Linked DNA regions of Callithrix jacchus. The protein of the gene in region 2 purifies or fractionates together with the protein of the main gene of each other region. This does not show direct contact. Links are inferred from orthologs where the notes say so. Each region holds a gene or a part of one and is shown on either strand. Other genes may lie near its edges.

Region 1 (10,403 bases), on a different chromosome or scaffold from region 2:
GCTTCCTCATTCATTCCCAAGTGACCTCAAAAGCCACAACCTGGCCGGGCCCAGTGGCTCACGCCTATAATCCCAGCACTTTGGGAGGCTGAGGAGGGTGGATCATGAGGTCAACAGATCAAGACCCTCCTGGTCAACAAGGTGAAACCCCGTCTCTACTAAAAATACAAAAATTAGCTGGGCATGGTGGTGCACGCCTGTAGACCCAGCTACTCGGGAGGCTGAGGCAGGAGAATTGCTTGAACCCAGAAGGCGTAGGTTTCGGTGAGCTGAGATCACACCATTGCACTCCAGTCTGAGTAACAACAGCAAAACTCCGTCTCAAAAAAAAGTCACAACCTTCCCATGCCACATGGACAGGTCTCCCATGTCTTGAGATCCTCAAATCATCAGCACCTCCATCCAGCATTTGAGGTTCTCGTCTGACCTCTCCTGCCCCCATGTTCAGCCCACCAGGTCCCAGGGGATGCTGAGCAGAGGCCCCATGAAGGGGGTTTTTGTTTCTTTTTAAAGAGTCATGGTCTTGCTCTGTCACCCAGGCTGGAGCGCAGTGGCATGATCACAGCTCATGGCTCACAGCCTCAAACTGCTGGTTTCCAGGCTCAAGCAATCCTCCCATCTCAGACTCCTGAGTCACTGGATTATGGGTGCGAGTCACCATGTCCAGCTAATTGTTTTAAAATGTTTTTAGAAACATGATCTTGCCAAGTGCAGTGGCTCACACCTGTCAGTCCAGCACTTTGGGAAAAGCCAAGGCAGGCAGATCAGTTGAGGTTGGGAGTTTGAGACCGGCCTGGCCAACAGGGCAAAACCTGGTTTCTACTAAAAAGACCAAAAAAAAAAAAAATTAGCTAGGCTCGGTGGCCCATGTCTGTAATCCCAGCTACTTGGGAGGCTGAGACAGAATTGCTTGAACCTGGGAGGTCGACACTGCAGTGAGCCAAGATTGTGCCACTGCACCCCAGCCTGGGTGACAGAGTGAGACTGTCTCAAGAAAAAAACAAAGGTCTTTCCCTTTTCCATGTGGGTCTGGAACTCCTGGTCTCCAGCAATCCTCCTGCCTCAGCCTCCCGGAATTGTGTGAGCCCCTACGAGTAGCCTCATAGTGTCTTTAACCCGGACTCCTGTTAACCACCCTCCTCATCACACCCAGAATGCCATATCCTTGTCCCTTCAGCCCTCCTCACCCCTGGGGCCTCCCTGTCCTTGTCTGTTCCTGTCCAGCCACCTCTCAGGGCCCAAGAAGGCTGAGCCTGGGGCAAGTGCATGAACAAACCTCCCTTCTGACCCAGTCTACTGCTGGGACCTTGGGATAGGAGCTGCTTCCCTTACCTCAGGGCCCCCTAGCCTTGCCAGGCACTGTCCCTGCCATGTGTCCTGTCTGGAGATGCCCCATAAATTACTCCAGCCCAGATAGTGCCTCTCACTGTGTACGTGATCGCAGGAGAAAGATCGCCATCTTCATGGCCCCAGCTATGCTGAGCTGGCCGTGTGGCCTTTAAAAACATTCAGCCACTGGCTGTGTGTCCTTGGCAAAATAGCCTTCCCTCTCTGATCAGCCGTGTCTTTGTTACCAACTGGAGTCCATAGCCCCCACCCTCAGCCCCAACTGGCTGCTTCTGAGGGTTCAGTGATAAAATAGGTTGTGGGGACAGGTGCGGTGGCTCATGACTATAATCGCAGCACTTTGGGAGGCCGAGGCAGGTGGATCACGAGGTCAGGAGTTTGAGACCAGCTTGGCCAGCATGGTGAAACCCCGTAAAAATACAAAAAAATTAACCGAGCATGGTGGCAGCCTACTCGGGAGACTGAGGTAAAAGAATTGCTTGAACCTAGGAGGCAGAGGTTGCAGTGAGCCAAGATCATGCCCCTGCACTCCAGCCTGGGTGGCAGAGCAAGACTCTGTCTCAAAATAAATAAAATAAAATGGGTTGTGGGCACACTCTGTGCCTGGCAGAGAGCAATATATTGTGAGGTTACATTTATGATTTCTTCCAAAAGGGCTGGTGCCCAGTAACTACTGGAAAAATTGGAGCAATTATATTTATTGTTATTTCTTCAATCCCACCTGGCACATGGTAAGCATGAAAGTTGAGGCAGTGAGTCTTGGGGAGCCTTTGAGAAGGAAAAGGGCTTTGCCAAGGGTTTGGTCATCTGAGGGATGGGCGGGGGCACCATCCAGCCACTGGGACTTCAGGGAAACTCTGGCTCCCAAATCAGCTGCTGTGTGTGGGTCTTTCCCACAACTAGAGGGAGGCACAGCTGGGGACTCACCTGTATCTCCCCGCCAGGTTTGGGACATTTTCTTCTGTAGGATCTGGTGCGTCTTGCCATGAATGACGCCCTGCGGGGCCTGAATGTCTTAATTATTCCCCCAACACTCCTGCCTCCATCTGGGCCTTTTTTCTGGGGTACTGTCTCTGCCTTCGCTGCTGGGCACTGTTCTATGGAGGCACCAATGCCTGATCATGCTACCAGGAAGCCCCAGCCTGGGACAACTCTCCCCCACCTGCCTGTGAGCCCTCCATGGTGATTCTGTCCCCCAAACCTTATCCTTCTCCCCATTACACAGAAGGGAAAGCTGAGGCTCCATCATTCAAATCCAAAGCCATGCGGACTCCTACTCCAAACAGCACAGGCTGCCGCTCTCCTGCATGGGCGCCCCTTGAAGGCCAGGTTGCCCCCCACCGCCCACAAGCCTTGGACCGTGAAAAGAAGGAAGGCCAGTTCTCTTCACCCCAAGCCAGAAGTAGGGCTTGCGGGGGTGGGGGCGCTAGAGAAGTGATGTGCCACTTCTTGTGTCGGCTTCTGCTTTTCTGGCACAGCTGTGGCCAAGCTTGAGTCAGTCCCACGAGACTGTAGTGGGGGAGTCTGGAGCATTGGGTTTGGGAATTTCGAGGGGGAAGGGGCCAGGGGGGTGGGGGTGGGCGTGAGGGAGGTCAGGGGCCAGGCTGGAGGGAGGGGACCTGGCCACACAGGCCTTGCCCACACTCAGACAGGGGAGTGAGCATTCAGCTACTCCGCCAACAGCCCAGCCTCCATCCCATCCCCGGCCTCCATCAGACGCCACCCCTGTTAGAGCACAGGCTCCTCTGAGAGTGGGCCCTGGGCCTCAAGTCCCCTAGCCGCCCCCAGAAGGTCTAGGGGTGTGAGGAGCAGAGACACCCTCATTTCTCTCGGCCTGTGTCTGTCTGGAAGGCTTCACCTCAGGTCCCCTAAATGTACTCTTCCTCAGGGCTCACATGACTGGGCCGGGCTGACTGCCAAGGGGCCCAATGGCCTCGTGACTGGGGACCCAGCACCTGGCAGGGGTGGGGGTGAGATACCTAGAGGGAGGCGTGGAGGAGGGAGAGACGCTGGCCAGGGACCCGAGGGGAGGGGCACCGGGAGGTGGGGTCGGGCTAGGGGCGGGGCCGCCGCCTGCTTAAAGGCGCTCATTACCCAGGCAGCTGCTCCCGCTGCCACACCTTCGCCCTCGCCGTGATGGCCCTGCCGCCGCTCCTGCTGTTCCTGCCGCCGCTGCTGCTGCTGCTGGACGTCCCCACGGCGGCGGTGCAGGCGTCCCCTCTGCAAGCGTTAGACGTCTTTGGGAATGGACCACCAGTCAACCAAAAGGTAGGGACGGCGACAGGGCGGGCCGGCTGGAGGGGACAGGCGGCTCCTCCTTTCTCCCCAGACTTCAAGGGCCAAGACCAGGGCCCCGAGGGGAGGCTGTCCCTGCCGGGGGAAAAACCGCGTTCAGTCCCCCGGCACTGCGGCCACTCTCTCCGTGCCGTTTCGCTTTCTCATCCCGCAGCTGAGACGCGCAGCTGCCCCCACCCGCCTTGTCCCGCTCAGGATTTCATTGAGCGCCTACTGTGTACTTTTGGGGCAGGAGCTGGGGTGTCTTTTGGGGGCCCAGGGCACAGCCAGATGAGTTCAGCGACTGGTCGAGGCCCCCGGCGTGCGTTCTTGCTGCTACCCCTGGTGCGCGCATTCCAGCCGGGGCAGGGCTCGTGTGTCGCCGGGGCCTATTAGGCAGATTCCCTGGAGGCTGAGGGACTTGCTCACGGCTCCCGCGACCTGGGCCGCCCGCCACCCCTCCGCCGAAGCCGGAAGTTAGCACAGATTAGGTGCCGTCTCTATTCGGTGGGACTTGGAAAGGGTTCACATGGGTCCCTGGCTCTGCTCAAGGCCAAGGTCTTCGGCCGGGCGCGGTGGCTCATGTGTAATCCCAGCACTTTGGGACGCCGAGGCGGGTGGATCACGAGGTCAAGAGATCGAGACCATCCTGGTCAACAAGGTGAAATCCCGTCTCTACTAAAAATACAAAAAATTAGCTGGGCATGGTGGCGCATGCCTGTAATCCCAGCTACTCAGGAGGCTGAGGCAGGAGAATTGCTTGAACCCAGGAGGCAGAGGTTGCGGTGAGCCGAGATCGCGCCATTGCACTCCAGCCTGGGTAAGAAGAGCAAAATTCCGTCTCAAAAAAAAAAAGGCCAAGGTTTTTGGGTAAAGTGGCAAGAAAGGAGCATGGCCTCGGTGCGGTGGCTCATGTGTAATCCCAGCACTTTGGGAGGGTGAAGTGGGTGGATCGCCTGAGGTCAAGAGTTTGAGGCCAGCCTGGCCAACATGGTGAAACCCCATCTCTACTAAAAATACAAAAATTAGCCGAGTGTGGTGGTGGGCATCTGTAATCCCAGCTACTTGGGAGACTGAGGCAGGAAAGTTGCTTGAACTCAAGAGGTGGAAATTACAGTGAGCTGAGATCACACCACTGCACTCCAGCTTGGGCGACAGAGCAAGACTCCCTCTCAAAAAAAAAAAAAAAAGGCTCGCCAGGCTTAGTGGCTCACACCTGTAATCCCAGCACTTGGGGAGGCCAAGGCGAGTGGATCACCTGAGGTCAAGAGTTTGAGGCCAGCCTGGCCAACATGGTGAAACCCCATCTCTACTAAAAATACAAAAAAATTAGCCCGGTGGGGTGGCACGTGGCCTATAGTCCCAGCTACTCGGGAGGCTGAGGCAGGAGAATCGCTTGAACCCGGGAGGTGGAGGTTGCAGTGAGCCGAGATCATGCCACTGCACTCCAGCCTGGGCAACAGAGCGAGACTCTGTCTCAAAAAAAAAAAAAAAATACCAAGTGGGGTTTAGAGAAGTGGAAAATTGCCCAGGGCTACACCTGCCTCACCCCTTCCTAATCCACAGATGGGCAGTCTATACCTGCGGAAGCAGCTCAAGGAGTCTATACCTGCGGAAGCCGCACAGCTCGTCAATGTGACCCTCTACTATGAAGCCCTGTGTAAAGGCTGCCGCACTTTCCTGATCCGGGAGCTCTTCCCAACGTGGCTTATGGTCATGGAGATCCTCAATGTCACACTGGTGCCCTACGGAAATGCGCAGGTGCGCGGACACTGGGGAAACTGAGGCACATGGGCAGGGGAGCAGGGGACCCGGCCTGCCAACCAGCTCTCACCCTGCTGCCTTGCAGGAACAAAATGTCAGCGGTCGGTGGGAGTTCAGGTGCCAGCATGGGGAGGAGGAGTGCAAATTCAACAAGGTGGAGGTAAGCGGTGACAGGGGCCCCTCGCCAGGGTGGGAGAACTGCCCAATGTACAGGAGGCAAACGCAAGGGTGCCAGCTCTGTCTTCTGCCTCGCGGGTTCCCATGTAATCACATCTTTATTCCCTATCTCCTGGGTGGGCACTGGTGATTATTATGATTGGGTGTCAGCATACCCTGGGCCCACCTCATGCCCTCTCCTGCCCCCTCTTGAACACCAGGCCTGCCTGCTGGATGAACTTGAGATGGATTTAGCCTTCCTGACTATCGTCTGCATGGAAGAGTTTGACAACATGGAGGAAAGTCTGCCACTAGTGAGTGATGCCCCTCACTCCGAGGAGAGGGACAGGTGGTAGCTTCCCTGCACCCAGTCAGACCCAGACTCAAGTCCTAGCCCTGACCATTGCTCTCTGTGCAGCCAGGAGAACAACCTTCCTTTCTTTTTTTATTTTTTTTGAGACAGGATTTTGCTCTGCAGCCTGGAGTGCAGTGGCGCAATCTCGGCTCACTGCAACCTCTGTCTCCTGGGTTTAAGTGATCCTCTTGCCTCAGCCTCCCTAGTAGGTGGGAAGAGGAGTGCAAACCGCCACCATGCCTGGGCAATTTTTGTGTTTTTAGTAGAGGCAGGGTTCACCATGCTGGCCAGGCTGGTCTCAAACTCCTGACCTCAAGTGATCCACCTGCCCTGGCCTCCCAAAGGGCTGGGATCATAGGTGTGAGCTACCGCGCCTGGTCCCAGCCTCCCCTCTTGAAGCCTCTGTCTTTGAATCAGAGGAGCATGAGTGATCATGGAGGACTTACTGGAGGAGGCATCTCTGCGCTGGGCATGGAAGGATGAGCAGGAATGTACAGATGATGGGATGTGGAGATGATAGGACAGGCTCCACCTACTTCCCCAGGGGATTGTGAAGAATGACTCCCAGAGGAGTGGCTCATCAGCTCTAATCAGTGTTCATTCACCAAACATCCCAGCCACCCAAGAGGCCCCACCCAGCCACACCCTAGTACTGCAGGGTTAGATTGGGGCTGGAAGAGTGGCAAGGAGGAGAGGGCGACACTGGGGAAGAAGGAGGAAAGGTGTTTCTGGCAGAGGGATCAGCATGTGCGGAGGCCCTGAGGAAACTGAGATGCCGTTGGGGGTCAGAGGCAGTGGATCTGGTCTTAGGAATGAAACAAGCGGGCTAGGAGCAGCCCCAGCCCTGCTCCCAGGCCTCCACTAAAGCATGTATTGAGCGCTTGATGTTTGTGGTATTGTGTGGCTGTGACCCTCTTCTCAGTGATGAAACAGGCTTGGCTTAGGGCTGGTGGGGGACCGTTGAGGAGATAACGGGGAGGAAGCTGAGGCAAGCCCCTACTCCTCCACCCCGCCCAGTGCCTGCAGCTCTATGCCCCAGACCTATCGCCAGACACTGTCATGAAGTGTGCAATGGGGGACCGCGGCATGCAGCTCATGCACGCCAACGCCCAGCGGACAGACGCTCTCCAGCCACCCCATGAGTATGTGCCCTGGGTCACCGTCAATGGGGTAAGGATCTTCTTAGCCCTCAGCTTGACACCCCTAGTCCCATGGAATCAGAGGTGGACCCAGAGGGACCAGGGATAAAGGAGCCCAGAGTGGGAGTGATGGCTTTGCATAGGAAAAAGGGGCACTGGGGCTGGGGTTTTGAAGGGTGAGTAGGAAGCAAAAAAAATGTGTGTACTAAACATCAGGCAAAAAAATGTGTGTATTAAACAACAAAAGGCAAGAAACAAAAAAGAAAGTGTGTATTAATTCAATGTATTAAACATTCCTAGCCACCCTCGTTGGGACAGATGTGCCCAACTGATTTGGGAGGTGGGAGGTGGGGGCCAGACTTGGGACCACATGTAGCCCTTTCTGGGCTGGAACCAGGGTACATAGGTTGAGGCAGCTGCTGGGACTAAGCGACCCCCTGTCTTGCTTTATGCAGAAACCCTTGCAAGATATGAGCCAGCTCCTGGCCCTTGTCTGCCAGTTGTACCAGGTAAGCTGGGCAGGGAGCAGTGGGGCTCAGGTGGTGGGGGTGGGGTCTCCTTCCAGGACTCCAACTAGTGGCCTTCCCCTCCAGGGCAAGAAGCCAGATACCTGCCCTCCCTCAACCAGCTCCCTCAGGAGCGTCTGCTTCAAGTGATGGCCGGTGCCCTGCAGAGAGCCGAGGGAAGGCAAGTGGGAACCCAGCTCCCTGCCGTTTTTTCCAATCCGGACCCTTGGCATCTGCTGGTCACAAATGGGAACATTTCTATGTATGAAGCCCAGACACAAAATTCCACCCCATGATCAAGAATCTTGCTCCACTAAGAACGGTGCTAAAGTAAAACTAGTTTAATAAACCCTTCTGGATGCTGTAATTGATTTGATAAGTCAGCCATTCTCCCTTCCCCAGGCCTGTGCAGTGCTGGAGCCTTGACACACCTTAGCCCAGGGAGCCTCTGTCCAGGGGATGCAGACCCAGAGAAACATGCTGAGTCTCTTGGGGTCAGGGATGGACCAAAAGGGATGGGCTGGGGCTAGAGGATCCCAGAGGGAGAGAAGTCTTTGCATAGGGGAGAAGGGCATCAGGGCTGGGGTTTTGAAGGGTAAATAGGAGTTCGTCAGGCAGAAAATGAGTTCATTAATTGCACAGACATCCCTAGCCACCCTCATTGTGCTGAACCCATACTGGGTAATATGGATTGAGACCGACTATGGGAACTGGGGCCGGACAAGGACAGAGGATGGGGCAGGAACACTGTCTGGGGAGTTGCCAAGAATTTGTTCCCTAGTGGGGACGTCAGGGTGTTCCAGGAAAGGGAAACAAAAGAATGTACAAGACTCTAGCCGCAGCAAAATCTGGAGCTAGAATGCCAGTCATAAACACCCCAAAACAGGAAGGTATATTATACAATATATCTTTTCTTTTTTTGAGATGGATTCTGGCTCTGTCACCCAGGCTGGAGTGCAGTGGCTCAATCTCCGCTACCTGCAACCTCTGCCTCCCGGGTTCAAGGAATTCTCCTGCCTCAGCCTCCCAACTAGCTGGGATTACAGGCGCGTACCACTACACCTGGCTAATTTTTATATTTTTAGTAGAGACAGGATTTGACCATGTTGGCCAGGCTGGTCTCAAATTTCTGACCTCAAGTGATCTACCTGTCTCGGCCTCCCAAAGTGCTGGGATTTCAGGCATGAGCCATCGTGCCAGGCCTTATAGGCTAGTTTTCAAGGGAAGGAAATACTATGATTCTCATACTAATGTAAAATGAACACATGTTAAAAGATTTTTTTTTTTAGTTTAGTTTTTTGTTGTTGTTGAAATGGAGTCTTACTGTGTCACCCAGGTTGGAGTGCAGTGACACAATCTCAGCTCACTGCAACCTCAGCCTCCCAGATTCAAGCAATTCTCCTGCCTCAGCTTCCTAAGTAGCTGGAATTGCAGGCACCCACCACCACGCCTGACTAATTTTTGTATTTTTAATAGAGACAGGGTTTCAGGCTGGTCTTGATCTCTTAACCTCGTGATCTGCCCGCCTTGGCCTCCCAAAGTGCTGGGATTACAGGCGTGAGCCACCGCACCCAGTTAAAAGATTTTATGTCCAGGCATGATGACTACACGGATAATCCCAGTACTTTGGGAAGCCAAGGTGTGAAGATTGCTTGAGGCCAAGAATTCAAAATCAGCATGATTACAAAAAATTTAAAAATTAGCCAGGTGTGGTGGGGTGTGCCTGTCCTCCCAGCTACTCAGGAGGTTGAGGTGGGAGGATCGCTTGGCCCCAGGAGGTCAAGGCTGCAGTGAGCTATGATCGCACCACTGCACTCCAGCCTGGGAGACAGAGCAAGACCCTGTCTCAAAACTAAACAAACACAAAAAGACTTGATTTAATTCTTCTTTTTTTGAGATAGAGTCTCGCTCTGTGGCCCAGGCAGGAGTGCAGTGGTGCAATCCCGGTTCGCTGCGACCTCCTCTGCCTGGGTTCAAGCGATTCTCCTGCCTCAGCTTCCTGAGTAGCTGGGATTACAGGTGTGAGCCACCACAGCCAGCTAATTGTTGTATTTTTAGTAGCAACTGGGTTTCTCTATGTTGGCCAGGCTGATCTCCAACTCCTGACCTCAAATGATCTGGCCGCCTTGGCCTCCCAGAGTGCTAGGATTATAGGCATGAGCCGCCTCACGTGGCCCCTAAAAATATCCTGAGGATTTGGATTGGCCAGAATCAGCCTGTACGAACCTGAAAGTCAGATGTAACTCATTGGTTTTTTGGGTTTTTTGAGACAGAGTCTTGTTCTGTTGCCAAGCGCCAGCCAGGCTGGAGTGCAGTGGCGCAATCTCAGCATCTCACCTCCTGGGTTCAAGCAATTCTCCTGCCTCAGCCTCCCGAGTAGCTGGGATTACAGGCACGTGCCACCGCGCCAGCTAATTTTTGTATTTTTAGTAGAGACGGGGTTTCACTATGTTGTCTTGACCTCATGATCCGCCCACCTCTGCCTCCCAAAGTGCTGGGATTACAGGCGTGAGCCACCGCGCTCGGCCACGACTCTTAATGCCTCTTAAATGAAAAAGAAGGGAAAAAGCATGTTGAGCGCTGTCTCTTTCTTACTGACAGACTGGCCGTCTCACAGATGTTATAACTTCCTTCAAGGAGGTGAGGCTTAATTCCACCCCTACAAATGCCTTTGTTTGTTTCTCTTTATTTTATTTTATTTTTTTTTTTCAGGCAGAGTTTCACTCTTGTTACCCAGGCTGGAGTGCAATGGCACGATCTCGGCTCACAGCAACCTCCGCCTCCTGGGTTCAGGCAATTCTCCTGCCTCAGCCTCCCGAGTAGCTGGGACTACAGGCACGCACCACTGTGCCCAGCTAATTT
Region 2 (10,684 bases):
ACTCCACATCCAGGAAGCCTTAATTCAGCACCCATTGATGATGCCTTCTCTGGCCCCACCTCTTCTCCGCCCAAGAAACAAATGAACAAAACAAAACTCCTTAGCTCCTCATCAGATTAACTGGCGAGCTGCAGCTACTGGCCAGGCATTCTTGCCTCTCTGTATTTGCTTGGGTTCGTATGCTACTGTTCCAGGGTTCTGCCATTAGCACTCTTCTTTTTAACCCTGTACACCCTGTCCTTAGGTGGCCTCATCTCCTCATACGCCTGCAGCCCCCACTAGAGTGTACACCAGGCTCACTTTCCTCTCATCTCTCAGGTATCCATCACCCATCTCCCAGACATCGCCCGGACATCTAGATGCTCCATAGGTACTTCAATCTTCATAACCCTAAGACTGACCTCACCTTCGCTCCCCAAACTGCATATATATCTGTATTTCAGCCTATGTGGCAGCAAGATAAATCTAATCACTCAACCAAAACTTGGGGTGTCACCCTGACTCTGTCCTGTTCCTCGGGTACCAAGGTCCCAGGTCCTGTGATTTCTACCTCCTTAAAGTATCTCATCATTTTTCTATACCCACCATCTGTGCTAAATTAGCACTAATTAACTATCTTCAGAGTGATACAGCCACATGCTGAGCATGATGGACAAGGACCTTCAAACTCTACCTTGGTTCACCTCTCCACTCTCACCCGAGTTCCGGTGTAATGGAAGAGACCCTTCTCTCCACTCTTGCCTCTTGTCATTTCCTTGCCTTGGTTCTGATTACTTACAGATACCTGAATGAGTCATAGTCTTTCTCATATCCAGGATTGTACCCTTGCTGTTTTCCTCTATTTAGATGCCCTCCTTTCCAACCCCCACTGCCCCACAACCCACCACCCTAATTGCCCACCAGTTTATTCTGCTTACTCTTAATCTCTTTTCAAAATTTTTAGATGTCAGTTTCTCTAGGAAACTTCTCTGAAATCCCAGCCTTCCCTCCACCCTCACCCTCTGCCCCACCCTTATCTGAATTAAGCACCCTCCCTGCTTGTTTTCACCATCTTCTGAGATTCCTCTCTCATTACGCTGTCATTCAGAGATGGCATGCTCAAATCAGGAGGATTCAAGGAGGTGTGAGAGAGGTGCAGGGGGACCATAAGGGATGGAGCAGGAACCCAAGTTAGTAATGACAGAGCTGGCACCAACCTTAGGTTTTGAAGACATAAAGGAGCAAGAGTGGCTACCAAAACCCAGAAAGAGAAAACCATGTAAAAGAGGGGACCTGTAAGGAACAGCGACCTATGTTTAGCTGCAGACTAAGGCAATCTTGCAGGGAGGAGAGATGAGGAATGACTATCTTGGCTTCACTCCCTCCTTTTTTTTCATCTTATGCCAGGTGGCCCATTGGCTAAGCCTACCAGCAACCAGAGGACAAGGAATGCGTTAAAATAATCTTATGGCTCAGAGAGTAGATTAGATGTAGAGCGGCGAATGGATTATATTTAGCACAATCGCAGTTCTATTTGTTGATCCGTCTCCCTCATCAGGCTAAGTTACCTGAGGACAGAGAATGTTTCTCTTATATCTGCATCCCTAACATCTGCTGGACACTAGATACTCAAGAAATGCTTACGAATGGGATCAGAGAAGATGGTAAACTGGGCATTAGATGGAGGTTTGTGCTTTCTGAACTTGCTGCATGCTTTCTGGAGAATCCAAGGCAAAATGAGAAACAGAATGAGCTCTGTACTTTTGTCTGACAAAAGAAAATATGATTTGGTGAGAAGAGATGAATATACTTTTAGCACTCAATGCTGGGAGGAACTGGGATGAGTCATGTGACTGCCTCTATCAGAGGCTCTCAACTGTGTAATGAACAGAATCTTTAACAGGGAAACCACAATGCAGAAACATTCTTAAAAATATTAGCTCTTGATAAAACCAAATCCATATTACAAAAAAGCAACCCAAAGGTGGAACTGAGTTAATATGGTCCACTTAGATTGAGCTGAGAACATCTTGCTGGGAAATAATGGTTGTCTTAGACTTCAAATCTTACCTCCTACATAAAGCTTCAGTGCAATCCTCCCTGTATTTTCTCTTCTCTCAACAGCCAAAAGATGGAAAAAATCAACTGAGGAACCTACGTGGAGGAGCATGGATTCATTAGATGGCAGAAACCTGGGTTTCTGAATGACTATCATGGAGCTAATCTCTGCCTACTCCCTGCAAACCTCTGTGCTGAGAACAAGTAACAAATTTTTAATGTGTTAAACCTCTGAAATTTGTTGGGTCTTATAGCAACAGTTATTTTACCCTAATACAGTTGTAAAATAATGTTCTAAAATCTACACTCAGGTTTGTTTAAAATACTATTGCCATGATTATTATGATCCATAGTCCATATCATAATCAATTATTTTTATAGAAATTCTTCTCAACTGGCATCTCATAATTTGTAGCTTCTTATATTGTTGTCTTCTATTTGTGACATGACTCTCTCAGTCCTTTTTGCTCGGGACATGATAGAAAATAAAATCTCTAACATGTTGATGTGTTTTATAATGTACAAAGTCTTGTTTCATGCATTATCTCTTTAGATTCTCCCAACAAACCTGAGGAATATGGAAGAGTCTATAACCATCCTCACTTCACAGGCAATGAAACTGAGACTAAGACATTTACATATAAAGAGTAAATAACCACAAATTTATTTATTAAACAAAAAAACCCACTAATTTATTTAAAGATTAATTGAGGTAATTATTTTGTCTGCCTGGAACCTGGTATGTGTTAAGAATTTTCTTAATTTTTCTAACTTTTAAAGAAGATAATCTATTGCTACATAACAAATCACCCTGAAATAATGACTTAAAACATTAAAAGTCATTGATTTGGCTCACAGAACTTGAACTGGAAGACATAAACAATGGGGAGTGAGGGTGGGGCTGGACAGCTGGCTTCTTTGGGCATCTCCAGTTCTTTCTGTGGTCTTGTCACACCTCTCTACACAGCAACCCTAGGGTAATTGTGACAGCGGGAGGCTTTAGAGTGGGTGGAGGTGAAGTGGGGAGAGAGGGAGGAGGAGTGAGAGAGAGAGAGAAAAGCAAGCAGGCAGGAGCTCTAATGTCTAATGACCTAACCTTGGAAATAAATTACACTGTGCCACTGCCACTACCTTTTCTTAGAAGCCAGCAGATAGGGTCAGTGCTTATTTATTGAGAGGGGAATTAGACTCCGCCTCTTGATTGGGGGAGTGTCAAATAATTTGTGGATATGCTTTTAAATGACCAAATTTCTCCTTTCTAAAATGTTTGTCTAAATTGGTGCACACATGAAGCTCAGGGATCAGTGACACATATAAGATTATTAAGCTGTTAAATGGCTCCACCAGTATTAGATCTAATTTTATGACTCCAAATTTCATGCTCTTTTCCACTACTCCAGATTATCTCCGGTGAACATCATTGTCCCATAGGACAATGTCTTTGTTAAGACATTCTAGCTGCCAAATAGATTCAATCCTTTTAATTGTCTTAAAAAATATATTTTTATTTTGCAGAAAAAATATTACCCATAAGGTAGTCATCCATAAACACCTTCCAAGTTTATCCCAAACATCTGTGTTTTAATTTTTTCTCCCAACAGATGTATTCATTTGCATTTTCCCAGATGAATCACTCTTTCTCTTTGTCATTTTTGACTGTATTTCTCACCTCTCAAGATCCTTTTGTATTAATTATCAAGCCCACTGCTTAGGCAAATATCATCTTCCAATTTGGGGATTTCCCCTCCATTCTTGTGGGCCCTTCCTGTGGGTCATTAATGCAATGTTATTTAAGATCAGGATTTGGCCAGGCATGGTGGTTTATGCCTGTAATCCCAGCACTTTGGGAGGCTGAGGCAGGAGGATCACCTGAGGCCAGGAGTTCGAGACCAGCCTGGCCAATGGTGAAACTCCATCTCTACTAAAAATACAAAATTAGCCGAGCGTGTTGACCTATGCCTGTAATCCCAGCTACTGGGTAGCTTGAGACAGGAGAATCGTTTGAACGTGGGAGGCAGATTTTGCAGTGAACCAAGATCGGGCAACTGCACTCCAGCCTAGGCAACAAGAGTAAAACTCTTTATCAAAAAAACCCAAAAAAACAGAAAACTAGGATTTGACATAAGGCCTGAGGAGCATTCTTTTGTTTTGCCTTGTTTTCAAGAGGCCCAAATCTTCACAGTTGAAAATTTCTGTTGACTTTTTTTTTTTAGAGAGATTTGAACCAACTCAATTTAGAAAGCCTGGGGATTTGAACAATGTTGTGTATCGGAAATCTCTTCATCTATCAGTTTTCATCATTCTAGGCAGTCAAACAGATTTCCCCTTAGGAGCTTTTCTCCGTTTGGGGTTCTCCCAGCAGTGGGATGTGGGGAATCATCCCTTCTTTGTCCCCACCCAAACATTTAGGGGGAGCATAGGGTGGGAAGTAAAGTGAATAGAGGCCTCCAGCGGATATAGGGTCTTTGTGTAGACCAACAGAGTCATCGGAAATCTAATGCAAACCACGGAGGTGCTGTTACATTTTCTAGTAGCTACCTTTAAAAAAGTAAACAGGTGATGCCATGCATGGTGGCTCATGCCTGTAATCCCAGTATTTTAGGAGGCTGAGGTGGGTGGATCATGAGGTCAAGAGATTGAGACCATCCTAGCTAACATGGTGAAACTCCGTGTCTACTAAAAATACAAAAATTAGCTGGGTGTGGTGATGCACACTTGTCCCAGCTACTCGGGAGGCTGAGGCAGGAGAATTGCTTGAACCCGGGAGGTGAAGGTTGCAGTGAGCCGAGAACGTGCCACTGTAGTCCAGCCTGGCGACAGAGTGAGACTGTCTCAAAAGAAAGTAAACACGTGAAATTAATTTTAATAATATATTTTATTTAAACCAATATATCTAAAATATTATTGAACGTGTAACAAATATAACAACATTCATGAGATATTTTTCATTCACATATCCATTCTAAGTCGTGGACTCTAATGTGTATTTTACACTTACAGTACAATTAATTTGGGACTAGCTATATTTCAGCTCATCAATAGCCAACAGAATACTGTATAGCACAAATAAACTCTTCGTCTCTGTTGCTTCTTTGGGTCTCGGAGACCTCAATCTTTTCCTCTCGGATTGCAAACCTTTTCGCCTTCAAACCTCGGTTCCAACACCAATGTGGCAAGGGAATCCAGTCTAAGGAGGTCCGCTCCCTTCCTGCCATTCTCTATTCCATTAACCTGCCTTGTGGTAAACATCGGACTGATCCTCCAGAATTACCTTATTAGTTAGTTTACATATTTATTATCTATCTGTTCCACCAGAATGTAGGTTTCCGGAGGGCAGGAATTTTAAAAACCTGTTTTGTTCTCTGTGATTTTCCCTTGCCAAGAGCCGTGCCCGGCACAAGCTGGGATCCCAGTACACATCTGCGGGGCGAAAGAACAGTGTTTCCCTAGAACTCAGCCGGAGGATAGCTTAGCAATGTGTCACAGGAGGGGTGCCCGCGTTCCGGGCTGCAGCACTGGCTCCCCTGCCGGCGTGGGTGTGGGGCGAGTGGGTGTGTGCGGGGTGTGCGCGGTAGAGCGCGCCAGCGAGCCCGGAGCGCAGAGCTGGGAGGAACAGCTAGCGCCGCGCAGAACCCGCAGCGCCGGCCCGGCAGGGCAGCTCGGAGGTGGGTGGGCCGCGCCGCCAGCCCGCTTGCAGAGTCCTTATTGGCCGCCTGCCCGCCGCCCTCCGCCCTAAAGGCGGCGAGGAGCCTAGAGGCTCCTCTGGAGCGGGAGCTGGAGAGCCGGGCCGAGCCGACGCTGGGGACATTGTTCCCTCCGCTGAGGGGACTCGGCGACCCTCGCGGCGGCTGGCTCTGGAGCCGGCGTCTGGGCGGCTGCGTGGGATCTGCGCCCCCAACTCCCTCCCTAGCTGTGTTCCCGCCGCCGCCCAGCTCGTCTGTGGCGCTGGCGCCTATGGTCGGCCTCAGACAGTGCTCCGGAGGGACCCGGGGAGCTCTCAGGCGCCCGGGTGAGTGGCCAGGCGCGGTTCCCCGGTCCCCCAGACCCCCGGCGCCAGCAATTGCTGTCGCGGCCAGGGCGCGGTGGGGTTTGCCAGGGCAGCGCCTCGAGCAACTGGGAAGGCCAAGGCGGAGGGAAACTTGGCCTCGGGGAGAAATGCGATCGTAGCCGGGAGGCTCCCCCAGCCCCGCGGGCCGGATGGGAACAGGTGGCGCCGGCCGGAACAGGCGCTTTGTGTCGGGCCGCGGGGATCTGGAGCGGACCGCCGCGCCTCGGTGGGCCGCTCCCTTCCCTCCCTTGCTCCCCCGGGCGGCAGCACGCCGGGTCGGCCGGGTAACGGAGAGGGAGTCGCCAGGAATGTGGCTCTGGGGACTGCCTTGCTCGGGGAAGGGGAGAAGGTGGCCACGGTGGCAGGAGAGGCGCGGGAGCCGAGAGGTGGCGCGGGGGTGCCACCAATGCCTCAGGCTGAGAGGGATGCTTCCAGCGAGGCGCGTTGGGTCTGGGCGAGGGCTTCATTCTTCCGCGGCGTCCCTGGAGGTGGGTAAGCTGGGTGGGCGTGTGTGCAGAGAAAGGGGAGGCGGGGAGGCCGGGAGGCCAGTCACTTCCGGAGCCGATTCTGATCCGAACACACCACCCAGCGTTTGGGGTTGCGGACCTCAGGGTGCAGTGGTGCCCGGCCCCATGCGCGGGCGAGGCTGAGTGGTCGGGGGCGTCCCTGGCCGCCCAGCTTTAACAAAGGGTGCTCCCCTCCACCCCACGAGGAGAGGCAACTCCTGAGACCTGGTCTCCAGCGAGCGGGTCTTAGCGCTGGGGAGGTCTACTTCCTTTTGGGGTTGCCATTTTACTATTATTATTGCCAATTTTTTTTGTTTGTTTGTTTTCAAAAGGACTGGAAGCTGATGCATGAGGGGGCCACGGAGGCACAGGAGCGGTGGTGATGGTCTGGGAAGCGGAGCTGAAGTGCGCTGGGCTTTGGTGAGGTGTGACAGTTTATCATGACCGTGTTCAGGCAGGAAAACGTGGATGATTACTACGACACCGGCGAGGAACTTGGCAGGTAAAGGGGGTGCCAGAAGCGCACGCTCCTGGGTTGTGGAAATGCATAACGATGGGGCCACTGGGTGGTAAACAAACGCAGTTTGAATCAGGCGTCTCCTTCGCCCTTTCTGGAGATGCACACATCGTAAAGAGTTACTAACCCAGAGATAAACCTCCTGATCCAGAGGCCTGGGGGTGGAGGAGAGGCAGCCGTTCAGGGCTAGATTATGATGCACAGTGTATTGATCAAGTCCCCTGTACAAGAACAGATTTAATTGTCTGCATTAACTCTTGTCAGCCCTTGGCCTTCCGTGACAACAGGACGAACACTAAGATTATAATTGCAACTGGAGTTCGCTTTTATGTGTAATTTAAACAGAGAGTACAAACTAATTAATAGGCTTTTAAAAATCTTAGTACTTTTCCCTCTATCTGAATTTTCAGTGTAATGTGAGCAAGTATTGGTAGGTGGTAAATGGAAACTTGCCAGATGTTGATGTTGGGCTTGGATTTTGAAACCTCTTCCAACCAGGAATTTAATTACCCGGTTGGTGTTGGTGGCTTTGGTTTCATTTACAATGTTAAATTTTTAACAAATCAATGAGATTCTAATATGGCTATCTGAATTCAGAGCATACCTCCTTTGCTGTAGCAGCTGTGATTCTCAGGGTAAAATCTTTCAGTTTCTAGGTAAACAAAGAAGGGTTTCTTTGGGGGCATCTAAGGGGCTGATTGCTGTTTCGTTTGACTGTGTATTAGACAGAGTGTTTTGGGCCGGTCAGCTTTAGTAGAAAACCTAGTTTTCATACCTACATTTAAAACTGAATTTACGGAATTTGACTGTGGTGTATTTGCATTTTGAGTGGAGCAGGCAAAGGATCTTTAAACAAACAAAATATGTGTTTACTTATATGTGCACTGAAATACTTATTTTCCCATATACATCTGATGTCCTGATACAAAGCCTCCTTTTTCTCCATGAAAAGGAAATTCAAAAACACCCACATTCTAGATTACCTAAAGCGAATTATGAAAACTAAGCTTAACTGAAAAATTTTTAAATTCAAACGATAGTGTAGAGTTTTTATAAAGGTTACTGTAACAGAATATTTCTCTAAATGTTTAGTATTGACTGAAAACATCAGTGGGGCCTGTACTTAGGAGGAGCTCTCTGTTTATTGATGATCTGGTGAGTAAATAAGGAAAGCCCCTGAAAAATCACATTTCATGGATGTGTTTAAGATTGGTTTAAGTGGAATTAAGTAACTTTCTTGTGGTTTTCAGCAAGATGAGTGGGATATGGAGTTTTCCTTTGGGACTGGGGAAAAAAAAGCAAAAAAGTTTTTTTTAAATTTTACTTGCATAGTGTGGTCTGATTATTTAAATGTTGTTAGAAAGGGAGATGAGTAAAATTAGTTGAGATTTTTTTGTATTATGGATTACGTGTACTGACCTTTTCATTATGATTATTTGGTACAGTGATGTGTTATGAGAAAGAAATAGAAAAAGAGGCCTCCCTGTGGTTGGTGAAGGGAGTTTGTGCTCTTCATTTCAGGGGCGTGATGAGGAGCCAGGTGGTTTGCTTATTTGTCACCAGCACTTTGATTGACTCCATGTACATTTCTGTGTATAACTTTCTTCCCAGTGTGGAAGGCAAATCGACAAATTGTTTATTAAATAATTTATGTGACCTAGGAATTTTAACAAAATGCTCTGAAAAACTGGAAGTCTTAAGAATGAAACGTACATACCCATCTGTCCTGTATAATTGCTATTGTTTTTGCCAAAAACTGAGTGAATGGTTGTTTTTTGGAAAATTTTTCAAATCCTGTGATTTATGTCTGCCTTGGATGTAGTCACTTCCTGAAAACAAGTCCTGATGTAAGATGGACATGTAGGAAGATCCTGCTTATGTGACATCATGTGTCACTGAGGGAGGATTGGGAGTGAAGGCAGGAGTTTGGTGGCAGAAAAATGGAAATGGGCAGATACGTGGAACAAATGCAAGGTCATTCTAAGCAGTGACTTACTAGCAGACCAGTATCTAAGATTTAAGACTTTTCTTGGCCAGACAGGGTGGCTCATGCCTGTAATCCCAGCACTTTGGGAGGCCAAGGCGGGCAGATCACAAGGTCAGGAGTTTAAGACCAGCCTGGCCAACATAGTGAAACCTCGTATCTACTAAAAATACACACACAAAAATTAGCTGGTCATGGTGGCAGGTGCCTGTAGTCCCAGCTCCTTGGGAGGCTGAGGCATGAGAATGACTTGAACCATTCTCGGAGGCAGAGGTTGCAGTGAGCTGAGATCGTGCCACTGCACTCCAGCCTGGGTGACACAGCAGGACTCTGACTGAAAATAAATAAATAAATAAAGACTTTACTTACGTATCTTTAGCAGTCATCTAAATAATAACGATTCACTTACCTTATAAATGTAATGAGGCAAAGTCCATAGCGAGGAGGAAAGATGGGTTTTTTAAAAAGTAGAATACAGTATTATTATGAATATTATTTTACTATTGGGAAAACTGAAAATGTGTGTATTTGTGTGTACTGCCTAAGACTTCTATAAAAGCTCTCTGTCAACTGTCAGGAACTTTATAAACTATTACAACTATTACAGCAGTGATAGAGCAGGTGGACCACTGGACAGACGACCCTGTCCAAAACCTGGCTCTGCAACTTGCTAGTTTTCTTGAACAGGCCATTTACCCACTCTGACCCTCAGGATTATCCTCCATAAAATGAGAGGTCTAGTGCTTATTTCATGGCTGTTGTAAAAATTAAGTAATCTAACTTGTAAAGGTAGTTTATTGGCAGTGGATAGTTAAACAACTATAGACATTATCTGTAGACTGGCTGAGACATGTGGGTGCCCCAGGCAAGCTAATAACTTGACCTGCAACTCAATATTCTTAAGTATCTGTTTACCAACTTTGGGAGGGGAGGGCTTATGGGAAAAGGGTTATAGGGAGATGGGTTGCTGACAGCATTCAGTCTTCACTATGATTCTGAATAATGCTGCCCTGGCCTTGAGCTGGCACAGCCTCCAAACAGAAGCTAGTCCCTGCAGCAGACGGACTTGTCATCTTTAGAAGAGTATTTGGTGGCCTTCCATTTGGGCTCCTGGAGGGCCTTTAGGGTCTCACCTTCTATGCCAGGAGGGGGAACAAAGAACTGCCTCCATCGTGTTGAACAGTCTCTGAGAGGAGTTCTTATAAATGTGGTTTTCTCCACCTGCTATTACACCAGGTTGTTTTAATGCCCCAGGATGCCCTAGCATCTCTTATCAGCTGGCATCTTGGGCAGCTACAGCCTGGCTTGCCCCATTGTTGGGCTCTAGTTACACCCTTGGCTGTCGTTCAGCCTAACCTGTGAGCCTCCTGGGTACCTCTCTGTGTACACTGCTTTCCTGAGGGACTGGTCTTCTTTCTTAGTGTACCATCTGACCTTTTATGATCTTAAGACCTAAATCCCACTTCTTTAATGAATGAATCCTTCCACAATGAGTTTTCCCTTTTTAAAGTCAAGTGAGTTTTCTGAGACTTTCTTTGTCCATGACCATAGACTGCCCAGTGACATGTTCCATCCTGTTTTATATTTATTAG

Evidence for each region. Proteins that work in one complex are often made in the same cells at the same time.
Region 1: the proteins of DAPK1 (region 2) and IFI30 purify together in Homo sapiens (affinity purification with mass spectrometry; 3 studies listed by BioGRID and IntAct, counting the BioPlex papers as one, with this or other methods). This does not show direct contact. The link is inferred for Callithrix jacchus from reciprocal best matches to the Homo sapiens genes DAPK1 and IFI30.

Annotation. Positions count from the first base shown.
Region 1 is NC_133523.1:16,889,235-16,899,637, forward strand, and holds IFI30 (gamma-interferon-inducible lysosomal thiol reductase), read left to right. Parts: upstream 1-3,453; 5' UTR 3,454-3,483; coding exon 3,484-3,615; intron 3,616-5,187; coding exon 5,188-5,382; intron 5,383-5,470; coding exon 5,471-5,545; intron 5,546-5,762; coding exon 5,763-5,855; intron 5,856-6,913; coding exon 6,914-7,066; intron 7,067-7,490; coding exon 7,491-7,544; intron 7,545-7,628; coding exon 7,629-7,691; 3' UTR 7,692-7,890; downstream 7,891-10,403. UniProt on the Homo sapiens protein: Lysosomal thiol reductase that can reduce protein disulfide bonds. May facilitate the complete unfolding of proteins destined for lysosomal degradation. Plays an important role in antigen processing.
Region 2 is NC_133502.1:75,958,625-75,969,308, reverse strand, and holds the start of DAPK1 (death-associated protein kinase 1), read left to right. Parts: upstream 1-5,634; 5' UTR 5,635-5,702; exon of another isoform or gene 5,703-6,046; intron 6,047-6,923; 5' UTR 6,924-7,031; coding exon 7,032-7,093; intron 7,094-10,684. UniProt on the Homo sapiens protein: Calcium/calmodulin-dependent serine/threonine kinase involved in multiple cellular signaling pathways that trigger cell survival, apoptosis, and autophagy.